Lonchura striata: one gene and its partner. The protein of the gene in region 1 purifies or fractionates together with the protein of each later gene. This does not show direct contact. Links are inferred from orthologs where the notes say so. Each region holds a gene or a part of one and is shown in the gene's direction. Other genes may lie near its edges.

Region 1 (7,749 bases):
CAGGCTGTCGTGCTTGAGATGTTTGCCTGCCTGCCATTACTGTGCTACTTTCCACACTTCCTTCACTAACAGCAATTCCTTCATGCTCCAAAGGCCCAAGTGAATGAGCAGTGTTTACAACCTCCCCCTTCCCTCCCCTCCCTCTCAGCAGTGCCCCTCTTGCTCTCCCTGGGTGCCTCGTTCTTTGTTTGCTGCTGCCTGTGTTTTGTAAAGCAGAGCTGCTGCCATGATTCTTCACTGCAAAAGTGGTGGAGCACTGGAATGGGATGCCCAGAGAAGCAGTGGATGCCCCATCCCTTGGAAGTGTTTGAGGCCAGGTTGGTTGGGGCTTTGAGCAACCTGGTCTAGTGGAAGATATCCCTGCCCATGGCAGGGGAGTTGGGACAAAATGGTCTTAAAGGTCCCTTCCCACCCTAACCATTCTAGGATAATTTTCAGTCAACATAGATCCCTAAAAGAGTGTTCACATCCTTGGCTTAGGCTGGCTGGTGGGATCAGGGAGGAAGGGGACTTTCAAAGTCAGGTGAATGATTAAATAAGGCTGGGAGGTGGGAGGAAGGGGAAAGGAGAGGAAGTAGGAATGAGTAGATGTTCCTTGATACAGGTGGAGAAAAATAGGGGCAGGCAGGGATGGGTGTTTAATTTTAGAGTGCAGGCAGAGGGAAGTTTGATGTAGGGAACCATAGCTATAAGTGCAGTTGGGAGATTGAAAGACAAAATTCTGAACCAAATTTCTGGTTTTGGAGCACATCAGTACTGTTTGTAATATCTGAAAAGAGGCTCCTCTGTCAGGGCACTCATCTCCACAGATTCTTTTGCATAATGTAGGATTTACATACAGTCAGTCTGTGGTGTGAATTCTTATAGCCCCAGTGACTGACCCAGTGTGTTTGAAGTTTATACCTCAATCCACAAAGAAGAGCTTACAGCACTTAAATATGTTTTTTGCCTAAGATTACCAGTGCTTAGTAATATTTTTCCAAAACCTGAACTATTAAGATCATTGAGAGAACATGTAAAACCTAAGCCAAAGCCAGGATTCTGTACACTCCAGAGAAACTCACAGTGCAGGGTAAAACTTCCCCCTTGCTTTTAAGCTTGAATTAGCAGCATGCCTCAAAATTTGGATATATATGCTTAAATTCAGCTGTTAGCTAATGAATCAAAGACTGACCTCACTGTTAAGCCATTGCCCATCTGTATTTTATGACTTCCAGAGATACACAAGGCTTCCAGAATCAAACAGTCATTTGTGGCTTCCCTAATATTCCCTGACTTGCTGATTGCTCACCAAAGCACTGAGTGCTCTTAGCTGTCTCTGTGCAATTTCCTGGCAAAAGGAGATCTGGAATGTAAAAGTGTATTCATCACCAGAGGTTTTGCAAGATTCCAGGACTTCAATGAAGCGGTAAGAGATTATTTAAAATTTGAATGGCATGAAGGTTGCTCTGAGGTTTCAACCAAATATAAGGTAACTTAACCAAAAAGTCAGTAACCCATAAGAAGAACCAGAATTATCTGGGATTTAGGTATCAAAAAAACAAACAAACAAAAAAACCCAAACCAAAACAACAACAACAAAAACCAAAAACCAAATGAAAGAAAACCCCACCAAGTTGTAAGTACTGTTATAACTGTACCAGACAGATCCTAAACCTTTACTGTGAGCTTCTCAGTACAGAAATGGAAGACTGAGTGGCAAGTGGGAACGTGTACATTACGATGCCTTAACCACTTATCTGGAGTGAAACAACTGCATATAGTCAATTACTGAGACATGTTTTTGCATAAACTGGATTTTCACTTCAGTTCTAAGATCAAAAAAGTGTAACCCAGAGCCAGCTTTTCTAAAATGGTGACCCTGGTTCTTACTCCTGTATTTGAACTCATTCTAGGGCAAAGAAATCATAACAAACCTTTCTACGGGATGGTAGGAGGTGCATGTCCATGTTAAATATGCATCAATGGTAATGTGGTATTTCTATACATTTTGGAAATGATTTTAACTTCTGTTAGGATGAGTATTACATACCATCTAACATCAAGATATATAAGATAGGAACCAGATGCTACTCTGTGCTAGTCAGGTGTTCTGGGCTTTTTTTAGCTTTTACTTTGCTTTTCTGGCACTAAAACTCCCTAAAATTTACTAAGGAAATGAAAGATTGCTGCTGTCGTGCTTTGGTGTGTTTATTTAGCAAAAACATTTCTGCATCATAGATTTGTGTCCAGAAACACATTCCTCACTGCTTTAGTGTACTGCATTATCTGGACAAAATGAAAAGGAAATAGTTGTGATTTGAAAGTGTTTTACATACATTTTTCAGTGCTGTACAAACTTATATGATATGTAGGGCAGTGATGAATCTTAGTCTCTCTTCTTCATTTCACACCACTATAACAACACTACTTTGCTGGATTGACTTCTTATTTACTGTGTGAGAAACCTCCAGATAGTACTGTGCCGACTCACCACCACCTTCAGTTTTGCTTGCTGGTGCTTGCTATTTCTTCATCTTCACAGTATGATATATAGCTGAGGAACTTCTTAATTTTGTGTTGCATAACTATAGGACTCTATTTTTTTTGTCTTTTTCCTTTCCCTACTATTAAAATCTAGAGACCTGCAGTCAGTCTTCAGGTCGTTCATGAACTCTGTTTTCTTCCATGTAGGCTGAGTCCAATTTGTCTCTGTTTGCTTAAGCAGATTAATTGAGTGGACAGGTTAACGCAGGTGACTAAGTGGGCACATCCTAACAAGTTACTGTCCCTCAGCTCAGCTTCATCTCCTGTGAATTTATATGCTCTTGTGTTCCTCCTGCATCATATCAGCCAAGGTATTTGGGGATTTGATCTGAGTAAAAACACCTAGGAAAATCCTAGATGGACCAGTTATTTGATCCCTTCCATTACATAGCTGCACAAATAGCTGTGTTGGCACAGTGCAGGGAGTAGCTCAGGAACGGAGCTGCACAGCAGAGTAAGAACTATTGATACTGGTGCTGCTGACAGAGAAGGAATCGTCAGGCTGTGCCCCACGGCAGTGTACTGCTTGTTCTGCTGTGTGTCTGAAGGGGAGGCAAACACAGCTCTTATGTGATTGCTGTAAAACTGATTGTTCGACAGAGTTGGTCTTTGAGGCTGGGGTCTGGTGCCAGGCTTCTTCCCACAGAACACAGGAGACCCTTTTGAGGTATAAGAAATCCCCTGTTTCCTCCATATTAGAAAAGGGGCATTTGATTTGAACCTGAGTGCAAGGCAGGATGGTTCCTTTGCCTGAAAACCCCTGAACACTTAGCTGTGAGTGCTTAGAAATGCAAATAAAAAGATTTACATTTCACTCATTCCTTTCTGAAGTACCAAATTCTGGTTTGCAGTGGTAGCTTTCTATCCTGTTCTTACGCTGTTCATGGACATCTTCCTCCTTTCATTTAGGAACTCCCTCTGAAATATCAAGCAGCAATTTTGCACAAATGAATCTTGAACTTTGGGTAAATTCAGAAAACTCTAAGTATTGTAATTCCTGGATATTTCATTAGGATTTCACATTACTACAGAATAGGAAAATAGCAAAATGTAAGGATTCTTTACGTTTTGGTGAGATTCCTTTGAACTGAGTTAACCTGTGTATTGATTGTCCCCTCTCAGCTGTCTCTTCTCAAGGCTGAGCGTGGCCAGCTCACTCAGTTTTCCTCATAAGGGAGATGCTCATTTCCCCTCATCACATTTGTAGCTCTTTGGGCGGGTGCTTTGGGCAAACACTATAGTTATACAACCCCACTCCAGGAGCTCCATGTTTCTCTTGGACTGAGGAGCCTGGCACTGGTCACAGCACCCCAGATGGACCTCTCCGGGGCTCAGAAGAGTGCAGTACACCCAGTGTATATGGACCAGGCCTTAGGTCAACCACTGCAATTTCCTGACTTATCTATTCTCCATGTGGTTGAATGAATGTATTTGGTAACATGTCTCGTCAAACAGGCATGGTTATGGAGTATTTTGGGCTGTTCTCTTGTCTGGCTTCAAAATTTTTTTTTTTTAAATATTGTCAGCATTCACTCATGTTTCTGAAAAGGTTTTGATATTTCAAGCATGGTACAAAAAGGAAGTCACTCTTCAGCTCTCAGTTCAGGGTCAAAGGGTAACTCTTGTGTTTTAACTCCAGCTTTCATGGAGCCCCCTTTATGGATCCAGAATTTAAATTGAGCTACGTGGCTTTTGCCTCAGTTCATTCCCTCCCCCCAGCAGCAATCCAGTAAGCTCCCATGTATCTCTGGGATTCTTGACACAGTCTGATCCTGTCTTTGAAGTGATGGGACTGATACATATTACCCTGAACTACAGAAAAACCTTTATGTTGCAACCAAACTGCGAGCAGAGGATGCTTGAGGGAGCTCATGCGATCTGCCTGTGTGTGTGGATTTGAGCCCAATGTTAAATGTATCCAACAGAGGAAAGTGCTTCGAAGTGCGTAATTCCACAGCAGGTTCAGCTGACTGAAATCAGCTTTGTGGCATTCTCACTCTCCCTATCAGTCCCAGACTCGAATTCTCGCTTCCTCCATTTGTTTACTTTTGCGATGTTAATTTGTGTGTGTAATTTTCTGTTGGTTTAGCTCCTGAACAAACTTATCACGGCAACTGATAAATGTTGGACAAGGGGGAAGGGCGAGACTGTGGCAGCGCTGTCTTATCTGTCGTGTGCTGTCTCGGTATAAAGCTCGTCTCCCTTTTGCCTGTAACTACCTGCTTCACTTCAACATTTCACCTTCCCACCTCTGGAGAGCACGTCCCGAGAACACCTCACCTCTCTTCTCGAGAGCCCGGCGCTGTACGTGCAGCCAAACCCCTCCTCTTTTTCCCTCCGGGCGCAGCACAAGCGCTGAGCCGAAAACTCCTGTTAACTAGGGTGACAAGTTTCCAGCAAGCTGCGGAACACGGGGAGAGGGGACACCCGGATCCCGGCAATATAAGGTATAGACGCCTCGGCTTGTGCAACACAGCGGCAGGGCAGAGCCCGTTTTATTCTTGCCTTTTTTGGATCTGCACGCACACAGACCTCAGCACAATGGAGCCGGCTCCGCGATAGCGCAGCGCGGTACGGGCGGCAGAAATAAAGTCAGCGCAGCGCGGCTCGCGATTGCTGCGATTGCCGCGATTCCCCGCTGATGGCGTGATCGCCAAAGACTTCTGCGTCCCAGGCAGGCCAGCGCCGCTGCCGGCCGCTGCCCGGCGGAGCCGCGGGCTCCGGGAGCCGCCCGCAGCCGCAGCGCGGCCGGAGCACACCCGCGGCCCCGGGGCAGCGCCGGGGCAGCGCCGGGGCGCTCCGGGCTCCCGCCGCGCCGCGCAGGTACCTCCCGTTCCCAAAGCAACTTTCCGCCGCCGAGCGAAGCGCAGGGACCTGCCCCCGCCCCTCGCCCCGCTGCGTCCCGCCCCGCGGCCCGGCTGCCCACCTTGGCGGCAGGGGGGCTGCGGGCGGGCCCCGAGCCAATGGCCGCGGCACGGCGGGCAGGGCGCGGGGCGGCGCCGGCCGCGGCAGGGCGGCGTGGGCAGCGGGGCCGGGCAGACCGGGCAGCACCTTGCGGCGGGCGGAAGGTGAGTGCCGCCGCGCCGGGGAAGGGGATTTCCTCGCTTGTTTTGTAACCGGGAAGTTTGCGCAGGGCTTGAGCGGACGGGTGCGTTCTTCTTCTTCAGCCCTTCTCTTCCCTCCTCCTTTTGAAATTTTCTCGTAGAAGAGGGTACTGACCCTGCCTTCCCCCCCCTGCCTCCCCGACTCATTCATTTAACAAAGGGAGTTGTTCTCAGCCGCCGGGCTTTGCGAGCGGGGAGCCCTTCGGGGCCGCATGTTTGGGGTCCCGGAGCAGAGGCTGGGGTGAAATCGGCGCTCAGCCCACAGTTTTTGCCAAGCACCCGTCCTGCCTTCGGCTGGAGGGGCGGGCGCTTTGGGCAAACACAAAGAATTGAGGAGCTGGACCCATGCTGGGCGATGGGTTGATGAAGCCTCGGGCTTTGTGTGGCTGGTGGAGGAGGGATGGAGAGGTGGGAGCTTGTCTTTTAACCCCTCCGCCCGCATGTGTGTACGAAACCGTGACTTTTTTCCTAGTAAAGTACTTAAAAGCGAAGCTGAACTTTGGGATCGCGGCATAATTCAGATTGGAGGGAACGTCAGCTGGTCTCAATCCAGCCTTCTTCAAAGCAGGGGCTTCTGCCTGGGGAGTGGGGGGCAGTGAAGGGACATCGGAGATGGCTGGCACCTCTGGGTGCTCTTGAATGCACCTGGGAGCTCGCTAGAGAAGGCAGCACCAGCAGGACGGGATTTCAGAGGTACTAGCGCTTCTGTCTTCCACTGTGCATGGAAATGCCCCAATCCACAGCTCTCCCACGCCTGCACTCCCTGGTCTTGCTGCTTTTGTTATCCAGAGGGCTTAAAATTCATGATTGTTGGGAATAGCTGGCTCCATCCGTATGTGTGTCACGGTGCATCTGCTCCTGCTGAGCATTACTTGATTCTTATTTCAACATTGCCTCCAGGAGTTTTTTTCTTCTGGAGCAAGATTTATAAATAGGTGTCAAAACCTGACTTTTGCTTGGGACTGGCTGTAAGGCGTGTACTTTCTGTGGTAACTATGTATGAGATGTGTATGTGTGTGAGAACAACTATAAAATCTGTTCAGTTAGCCACACTTTTCATTTTCAAAGTAAAAGTAGGTATTGTAGCAGGGTGAAATGGCTGGATCGGGCACAGAGGGAAGAATGTTTGTTTTCTTTGCTCGCAATTACTCTTTGCCCAGTGACTTATGGATGCCTTTCACTGAACCACCTCCCCCTTCTCTACAGTTGGGAGTTTCCTGGTGTTGCACATTACCTGGGCAAGCAGGGAGCATCTTCCTGTCGCTGCTTCAATATCTCTTAGTGTGGGTGTGCTGGTCTTGCTCTCAGCTTTATAGGGTGAGGCTGGAAAAACTCCTCCTTGTGGAACAGTTTGCGTGTGTGTCCACTGGATGCTTGGAGACTGCTTTTTCCCGTGCATTTTTTTTGTGGGTAAGTCAGAGAAATGAAGCTCATCTCTGCACAGGGAACAGAAGCTATGGTGGGAATTTGAATATGTTTAAATACTGATTCTATTTAACTCTGGATTGCCTGTCTTGTGCCACAGAACAGAATTTGTTCTCAGCTGTACTGTATAACAGAGCTGGAGTCTAAGACTGGACAATAAACTGCCAGGTAATTTTTTTAGCCTTTTTGAGTCCTGCATCTTTAAATGGGATGATATAACTGCCATTTTTCGATTTGGAAATGAAAGCCAAAAATAAACTTGAAGAAGAAAATGCTCTTGTAGCATGACAGCAAGAATGCTTTTACCGGTTTCTGAGGAATACTGTGTGCTCTGGATGTTGCTCAGAAAAAAAAAGAGTAGGGAAAAGTGAGGTTTTTAGTTCATGCATTTCTGTGCATAATGGGGATATAGGAAGAAATACGTGACAAGTCCAATATAAGTGCCACAAGTGGAAATATATTGCTTGTTTATTTTGTTTTTCACTGCCTTTCTTGCGCTGGATTGAAAACTGATGCTAGCTCTCTTTGCTGGAGAGGTCAAAGAACTGTTTTATTATCCTTTTCCAGGCTCTGAAAGGAGACCTTTTCTCTCAGCTTTGATTTCAATGCATGAATTTCACCAGTTTGCTGATTAGTGTCTTGTCTTTTTATAACTGTGAACTGCAGAATGGCTTCTTTTCTTCTTTTTCCCTTT
Region 2 (7,851 bases), on another chromosome or scaffold:
GATCAAACTTGGAGATGGAACTAAAATTATTTTTTATACGCAGGGCAGCAGAAAAGAAGGAGGGAAACAGTAAAATACTGACATTTTACCCCATCACCAAATTTTTACCTCAGATTTACTCAAAGCAAAGAAGTTACACCATCATAAAACAGTATCTCTGCGAAACACAAACATAAGCATAAAACCTTCATAATGCACAGAGGCTTTTTTTGTGTAAAATCAGGATTTCTCACTGTGCTCATACAGTGTTTGGGGGCCAGTGGTGCAGACAGGTGAACTCTTTACCTTCTCCCTTGAAGATGACAGTCCTCCTGCCCCTCTCCCAGCTCATGTTCTCGAAGCCCAGCAAGGTGATGTCCACACGCAGCTTGGCCCGGCTCTTCCAGATGCGGCAAACATCGCTCGGGCACACCCTGGAAACCAGGGGCACTGGGAGAAATGGGAGAAATGCAAAGGGAAAATGTGCAAGAGGTGCAGCACTGAGGAAATTAGTTCAAGCACAGGGATTGCTCACTCCTGGGAATGTCATTCCAGAGGAGGTGAGATACTGATCATCTTCAGCTTTAAGAACAACCAGCTTAGGGGAAAACCGGCCTAATTTAAAGATGAATATGGAAAGGAAGAAGATATTTGTTTGGACTGCAAGGTTTGAAATGGCATAAACCCCATGCCTGGTCGTCTAATATTTGATATTTGATATATTTAATCAGCTGTGAGACCTAATGTTCATTCCTTTCAGGGAAAAGCAGGTACTTCCTCAAACAACCAGTGAATCCATAGATGACACACGATCAGTTGTGGATGGCCAGGGACAGGTAAAAAAAAACCCAAGAAAAGTCTCCAGGCAACAGCAACAACAGCTAAATTCTCCACTACCAAAACCCAACCAACCAGACACACAGGAAACAAAGAATAATTGTGCAACAAAAGCACAAGAGGTCATTTTGAGATGGAGAAGAGGAAGATTGCAGGGAGCGGATATCTCCCTGCCTGCACTGTGGGACATTTCTAACTCATTTTTACAGCTTGAAATTGGTAACAAGGAGCAGGATCCTTACCCCAGCTAGTGAACTCCCATTTCATTTCCACATAAAAGTCAGGAGTCTGCAGAAGGAAAACACCTGATGAGTACTTCATGAAATAGTTTGACAGTCAGTGCAGCATTTCCTGTGAACATTTTAGATAAAGGAAAAAAAAAAAAAGAGAGCAAAACTGGAGAAATGATTAGCCAATGCTAAAACTGAAATTGAAAGTTGCAAACACAACAGGCACTGCCCTGCCCCTGCTGCTTTCTGGGGAGCTGTTCTTCCTTGTTTTACTGGAGAGGCAGCAGTGCCTTCAAAATTCAGCCTCCAATGCTGGAGTACATGACAAAGGATTTAAATAAAGTCAAGGAAAAGCCTCCATGTCCTTCAGGACTACGGAATATGCAGGTTGGAACAAAACACAATTACCCAGCTGATTGCAATAGTTAACTGAACTACTTGAATGAGTATTCAAGCAGAGATTTCAGTCTAGAATGAGAGTTTACACTTCAATAAATCCTTACCTCGTTAATCTTCTGCAGTAACTCGGGAACTCCTCCGAGGGTCATGGAGGTCTGCTGGTAGTCCCGATGCTGCAGGATCAGCTGGACCATCTCTGGATCCCCTGTGCTGACAGCCTCATGCAAAACTGAAAGAAAGCCAGCCACAGCCTCGTGTCACTTTGCTTGCTGACCAAAATTCCATATAAAAACACAGAACAGCTGCTACTGAAAGACTGACACCCCAGGTTGTTCCTTACCCGTCCATCCCTGCGCGTTCTCCTTGGTCACATCTGCCTTGTGCTGCAGGAGGACCTTGGCAGATTCGATGTAACCCAAGGAAACAGCCAAGTGCAGCAAGGTCCTGCCCCGTGGATCCCGCTGGTCAACATCCTGTCAGTGTCCAAGAGAGAGTAACAGAGCTCATCAGAGCCTGCACAAACACAGGGCTCATCCAGGAGTCAGCATTCCCTGCCATTCCCATGGATCCACTCCCAAACTCTCCTGCACCGCCCTTCTGCGGGGCTGCCTTGCTTCCCCACGTGAATAAAAGGAGAAGCAGAACGGGGCCTATGAAATGACACAAAATCTGTAGGACAGGAGTTCTTGTTGATGCTTTTCATTGCTTTTTCTGTCATTATTTCCCCTCTGGCTCCCCCCAGAAGGCTCAGGAGGAGTTCTGTCCGTGTGCATCACCCCACGGACAGCCAAGAGCCTGAGACCCCACAGAGAGTTTAAACTGTACAACAAAATGGGGGGGAAAGGGGAAAAAAAAGGCAACAGGACATACAACACGGCTTTTGGACAGCACTTTTGGAAAGGACAGAAGCAGATGGTGTTTCACAAAGCACACACACAGCACAATGAGGAGTGAGGGCATTCTCTGCAAGTCACTAAAGTAAAAAATAAACTACACAGGCACAAATATCCAAAACATGCAAGCACAACATACTCATACCTTACACATTTTTCACTATTAGCTTAGAGATTTGAAACAGAAGAGCATCTATAACTAAAGGAAAAGGGGAAAGTCAATAGCAGAATGAGAAAGGAAGGTTATTATGCACGTTAACAGCGTTATCTGACAGCTTCAAGTCAGAATATCTCACAGAGAGTGGGAAAGCTTCACTTTAAAGCATCTTCACTTCTGGGGTGGAACATTAATTAATTTGTTTCTCCACCTCCTGCAGCTCTAAAGAGCTCCAAGGGTCCCTCCCCACTGTTTGTTGCTGTTCCCTGGTCCCCACATGCCCCACCCCATTTGCCACTCCAGCCACAGCTGGGAAGTGCCTTTGATTCCTTCACAGGTCCCTCCAGCAGCAGGAAGCTCATCCCAAAGCAGCAGGGGGAACCAGATCTTTGGAATACTTAAAAAAAAAAAAAAAAAAAAGAAAAAAAAGGTGTTTAAAAGCAGGTAAAGGAAGAGACACAGTCCATCTTCACACGCTGCTGGCTTCCACAGGGAATGGAGGGAGGAAGCAGCATTCCACAGGTGGGAGCTGCTGAGTGATCCCTATTTAACCATAAACTCTCACAGATGTCAGAAGTAAACACACAGGAGCAACGTGCCAGTGAGGTTAAAGATTTTGTTAAGGCATAAGGTGATATAAATGAGGTAAAAAGTGACTGCATTCCAAAGATTCTCCCAAACCAGGGCAGGAACATGCTCTAAGCAGGAATTAGTAAGTCAGGTGCACCGTTAGAGCTGCAGGTGACAGGAGGTGGCACAGCCGGTCTTGGGCTCACGTACTTGTGGTGTCAGGTATAATTAATTAATCAGCTCTGCTCATTAACTGTACCTCGCTCTAGCCCGTCAGAGCTTTTGCACAGCAGCTCAGCCAGGAGGATTTTTGCTGCTCAAGCTCTGCTGCAGCTTTCAGGCTGTTTCCTTACGTCATCATGTCCCAGAGAGGGGACAGCTTTGTGTTTGCTGCTCTCCAGCACTAAACAATGATCCATTTCTATTTTTTTTTTTTTTTACCAGAGATGCTGAAAACATTCCAACCCATATAAAAACTCTGTCCTCATTCTTGGGCAGCGACAAACCTGTAAGAACTGATGGTGCTCAGCAAAGTGAGGGCTTGGTTTGATGTCCAGTAGCACCAGCTACCTTTGCTGCACGTTGACTTCCCATTAAGACAAACACTATTTATTGCTTTAATAAATAAATTAATATCCATCACAGCTGCCCTCCTTGAGCTCTCCCCTAAAGAGCAACGCTCAGAGCAAAGCTTTACAGATGGGAAGCCAACGTTTAGTATCTGACATAAAAATATATTCCCACACCTTCTCGCATCACTCCCACACCACAAATAAACAGGTAACCGAGTGCAGGGATCCCTCAAGCAGCGCCACCAGGGTGATCCTCCCTGGCACAGCAGCGAGCCAGGGCCAGCAGCCCCCCAGCAGCCCCCGAGCCCCGGTACCTGGTCCCGCAGCTCCTCGTCCAGCCGCCGGTAGTCGTTATTCCACACCAGGACGTGCAGGGGGAAGGCGCTGCCGGCCCCGCCGGGGGAGCTCATCCCAGCACACACCTGCGAGCCGGGGGGGACCCTCACTCTCTCCTCTCTGGATGCTCCCACGTCACTCAAGCCCTGAGCCCTTCAGCTTCTGGTCTCTGCGGGCACCCACCTGGCCCAGGTGTGCGTGTGCGGGCCACGACCCCCCAGGAACCGTTCAGCCCTCTCCGAAGGGAGCCCCATGCAAAACCCCAGCGCGGGGGTCTCCCCTGCTGCTGCTGGTGCCCCTGGCAGCCCCCGGGTCTCCTCCCGGAGTCCGCTCGGCGCCGCTCCCGGGCTCGCCCCGCTCCCCCTCAGCCGTCCCGGCCCCTCTTCCCCGTCCCTCCGGGGACGGCTGGCACCGACCACAGCGCGCCCGGAGCAGGGGGGTTTCCTCGCGGTGCCCCGCACTCCTACCGCCACCGACAACCGCACGGAAAGCGGAAGCCGCTCCCCCTCCCCCTCTGAGGGCGGACGGATGGAACGTCCCGCCCGCAGCTGTCCCATTGCCTTCCCCGCATGGGGTGCGCTCACCGCTCTCACCCCGCCTTCGCCCGGCCTTGGTTTGGCTCGCCCGCCCGCCATGGCGGGTAAGGGCAGGGCTTGCTGCACAGCGGCCTCTCCCAGCAGGCTTCCGAAGCCACATCTCTCCCATAACCCCGCCGAGAGGGCGCAGCGGGCAGGCGGGCCCGGGCGGGAGCGCTCGGTGCCGCGCCGCTGAGCCGGAGCTCAGTTTGAAGGCAGGCCCCCGTGCCAGGAGTAAAGATGGCGGCACGGGCGACACGCGGAGCGGCAGAGGGGGTCTCGTCGCGCATGCGCGGGGCCGGCCCGGGGCTGGCGGGGCCCGTTACCGGCCCCGCTGCCGCCGCTGCCGCCGGTCCCGCGATGGCGAAGCGCCTGAGGAGCAGCGAGGTCTGCGCCGACTGCAGCGCTCAGGGTAGGCACCGCACCGCCAGCGGCACCGCGCGGGCTCGTCCCGCGGACCCCTCTGGAACCGGGGGCCGCGGGGGCGCCGCCGGCCCGGGGGCGTCCCCGCCCCGGAGCGCTGCACCTGTGATGGAGCGGGATGGTTTGGGTGGGAAGGCAGCTCAAAGCCCGTGGGCAGCGCGGCTTCCAGGAGCCCGGGCTGCTCCGACAGCGTCCAGCCTGGCCTGGGACACTTGCAGGGCTGGGATGGAACTCCGTGTCCGGGTGTCCGGCACCGCCGCCCCTCCCGAGCCCGGGGCACGCGGAGCTCCGGGAGCATCCCGGAGGGCTCCGGCGGCGGGAAGTGCGGAGCTCCCCAGCCTAGGAAGGAGGGAAGCTGACAGGAATCCACCTTCAGTCACGGGCAGGGCGTGGGTTGGGAATGTGTCACTGGAAAGGAGCAGGGCTGTTTTTGGGGGGCTGCGTTTTCACCCCTGTCCCTGTTCCCAGGGGCATTGGGGAGGTAAACTGGGATTTGTCCCACGGCCCACACTTCCAAGGAAAGTTGTGCTGAGGTGTCTGGAGATGCTCAGGGAGCAGGGTCTGCCTTGGGCTGGCGCGTATGCCGCTGCAGATCAGTTTGGGAGCATATGGAAGTGGAGGTGGTGTTCAGAAAAGCTGTTGCATCTCCTGACCGTCTGTAGTTCTGCAGCTCTTGTATCTAAAACTGTCCTGCTTTATTTTGTCAGCTCTGTCTGTGTCTTTTCTGGCTCTTTAGTTTTTGCTGTTTGTGTTCTGGGCAGGTTATGCACATAGTGAAATGAATTAAAACACTGATGTAATAATACCTTATTATTGTATGTGTAATATCAATGTCTGTGTAATGTAGATAACACTTGAATTGGCAGAAGATAGGATGTGGGAAAAGGGAGAACAACTTTTATTCAATCTGAGTTATGTTTTAAAAAATGATAAAAATTCCAAATGAACTTCCAGGAAGTGACATTCTTCTTTTTACAGAAGGAAGTCTTCCCTGTGAGGGTAGTGAGGCCCTGGCACAGGTTGCCCAGAGAAGTTGCTCCATCCCTGGAAGTGGCCAAGGCCAGGTTGGATGGGGTTGGGATAATGGAAGGTGTCCCTGCCCATGGTAGGGATTGGCACTGGGTGAGCTTTAAGCTCCCTCCAACCCAAACCAGTCTGGGATTCTGCTTGTACCCCTGTAGAAATTTGGTTTTACAATAAATGCAGCTGGCATCTCTCAGGCAGGTGATTGTCCCTATCTCACAAGGTAGCCTATCTATGCTTGCTCACATCAGGGGTGTTGTGAGTTGGAGATAAAGCTGTGTGAACTGTGTTCCTTAAGCTCCTTGGGGCATCAGAATCACTGTCTGGTAATCCTGTAATCCAGCCTTTATCGTGACATTAGAGCACTTCCAGCTCTTTACTTACTTACTAGAAACCCGCTGGCTTGTCCACATATATGAAGAAATCTTTACTTATTTATTAGAATCCAGTGGCTTATCTACATACATAAAGGAATCTTCATTTAATCTTTTGGTAAATAAAACAAATCAACCCTTTCCTTTAGCAAAACCAGAGGGTTTGTCCATGGCTGCGTGGGGCTGTGTCAGGAGACCTGGTGGCTGCAGCCTTTGCACCAGGGCGGGTGTGCCTGGCACCTGCATTAATTACTGCTTCCCCTGGAACCTCATCAATGCCCCTTTGTCTCTGCCAGGGCAGAGCGTGGAGGGTTTTCTTTGACTCTTACAGGAGCTCTTGTGCTGCACTTCCTATCCCGAGGCAGGAGCTCAGTTCTCAGACCCTGGGCCGGGTTTGTCTTCATCTCAAACTTCCTGTTTTGAACCACCCTGCAGGTTCCTGAAAGCGCCTGCCCGGCCCTGCAGCTTCTCCCCAATTGTCCTTTGTATCAAAACCAGCGTGGGCAGCAGGGCCAGGCTGTGACCACCCCTGAGCTGGACACTGAGGACCCTCAATTGCTTTGTCCAGCTCCGGGCCCCTCGCTCCAGGACAGATATGGAGGAGCTGGAGCATGTCCAGGAAAGGGAATGGAGATGGAGAAGGGGCAGCTAAAGGGGCTCAGCCTGGAGCAAAGGAGGCTCAGGAGGGACCTTGTGGCTCTGCACAACTCCTGACAGGATGGGACAGCCTGGGTGAGGGGCAGGCTCTGCTCCCAGGGAACAGGGACAGGAGAGAAGAAAGTGCATCAAACTGTGCCAGGGGAGGGTCAGGTTGGGCACCAGGAGGAATTTCCTCATGGAAGGGGTGGTCAGGGACTGGAAGGAGCTGCCCAGGGAGGTTTGGAGTCCCCATCCCTGGAGGTGTCCAAGGAAGAGCTGGACATGGCACTCAGTGCTCTGGGCTGGTGACAAGGGGATGATCAGTCACAGGTTGGACTCAGGGGTCTCTTTCAACCTCAGTGATTGTGGGATCCTGTGTATTTTGGTACTTGCTTGAACATATTCTGATCGAGTCCATAATTAGGTCTCTCTTAAAAATTACTCAAATTCCAGGACAGATACTTCATTGCATTAAATTTAAACCTGAAATATCCAAGGGTGTTTGGTGTTGAGGTGGAGATAAAGAAAACCCCCAGTGCTGACTGTTGATAATGCAGAGCAATGCTCACAAACAGCCTGGGAATGGGCAAGGGAAAGGATCCCTAAGAATCCCATCCATGTGTGATGAGGTTGTCTCTAACAAGAAGGAATCAGGCTCATTAATCTGGAAGGCTGCCTCAGTTTGGGTGATTAGGTTGCCATGAATGCATCTCACTCTATTGCTGTTCTTTTTCTTCATGGAAATCAAAATTGTTAAATAATGGAATGATTTAACAAGGAGTTCTAAGTGCTTGTTGTAATTTGTTCTTTAACAAATGGATTATTTTTTTGTCTCACCTGCTTT

Evidence for each region. The genes of interacting proteins can lie anywhere in the genome.
Region 2: the proteins of PAK1 (region 1) and GIT2 purify together in Homo sapiens (affinity purification with mass spectrometry; 5 studies listed by BioGRID and IntAct, with this or other methods). This does not show direct contact. The link is inferred for Lonchura striata from reciprocal best matches to the Homo sapiens genes PAK1 and GIT2.

Annotation. Positions count from the first base shown.
Region 1 is NC_134604.1:32,382,771-32,390,519, reverse strand, and holds the start of PAK1 (serine/threonine-protein kinase PAK 1), read left to right. Parts: upstream 1-4,736; 5' UTR 4,737-4,973; intron 4,974-5,496; exon of another isoform or gene 5,497-5,674; intron 5,675-6,102; exon of another isoform or gene 6,103-6,323; intron 6,324-6,405; exon of another isoform or gene 6,406-7,040; intron 7,041-7,046; exon of another isoform or gene 7,047-7,223; intron 7,224-7,749. UniProt on the Homo sapiens protein: Protein kinase involved in intracellular signaling pathways downstream of integrins and receptor-type kinases that plays an important role in cytoskeleton dynamics, in cell adhesion, migration, proliferation, apoptosis, mitosis, and in vesicle-mediated transport processes.
Region 2 is NC_134620.1:11,019,070-11,026,920, forward strand, and holds the start of GIT2 (ARF GTPase-activating protein GIT2), read left to right. Parts: upstream 1-4,849; 5' UTR 4,850-4,908; coding exon 4,909-4,960; intron 4,961-7,851. Other genes in the region: ANKRD13A (ankyrin repeat domain-containing protein 13A), read right to left, coding at 286-429, 1,059-1,104, 1,550-1,674, 1,786-1,918, 3,952-4,047. UniProt on the Homo sapiens protein: GTPase-activating protein for ADP ribosylation factor family members, including ARF1.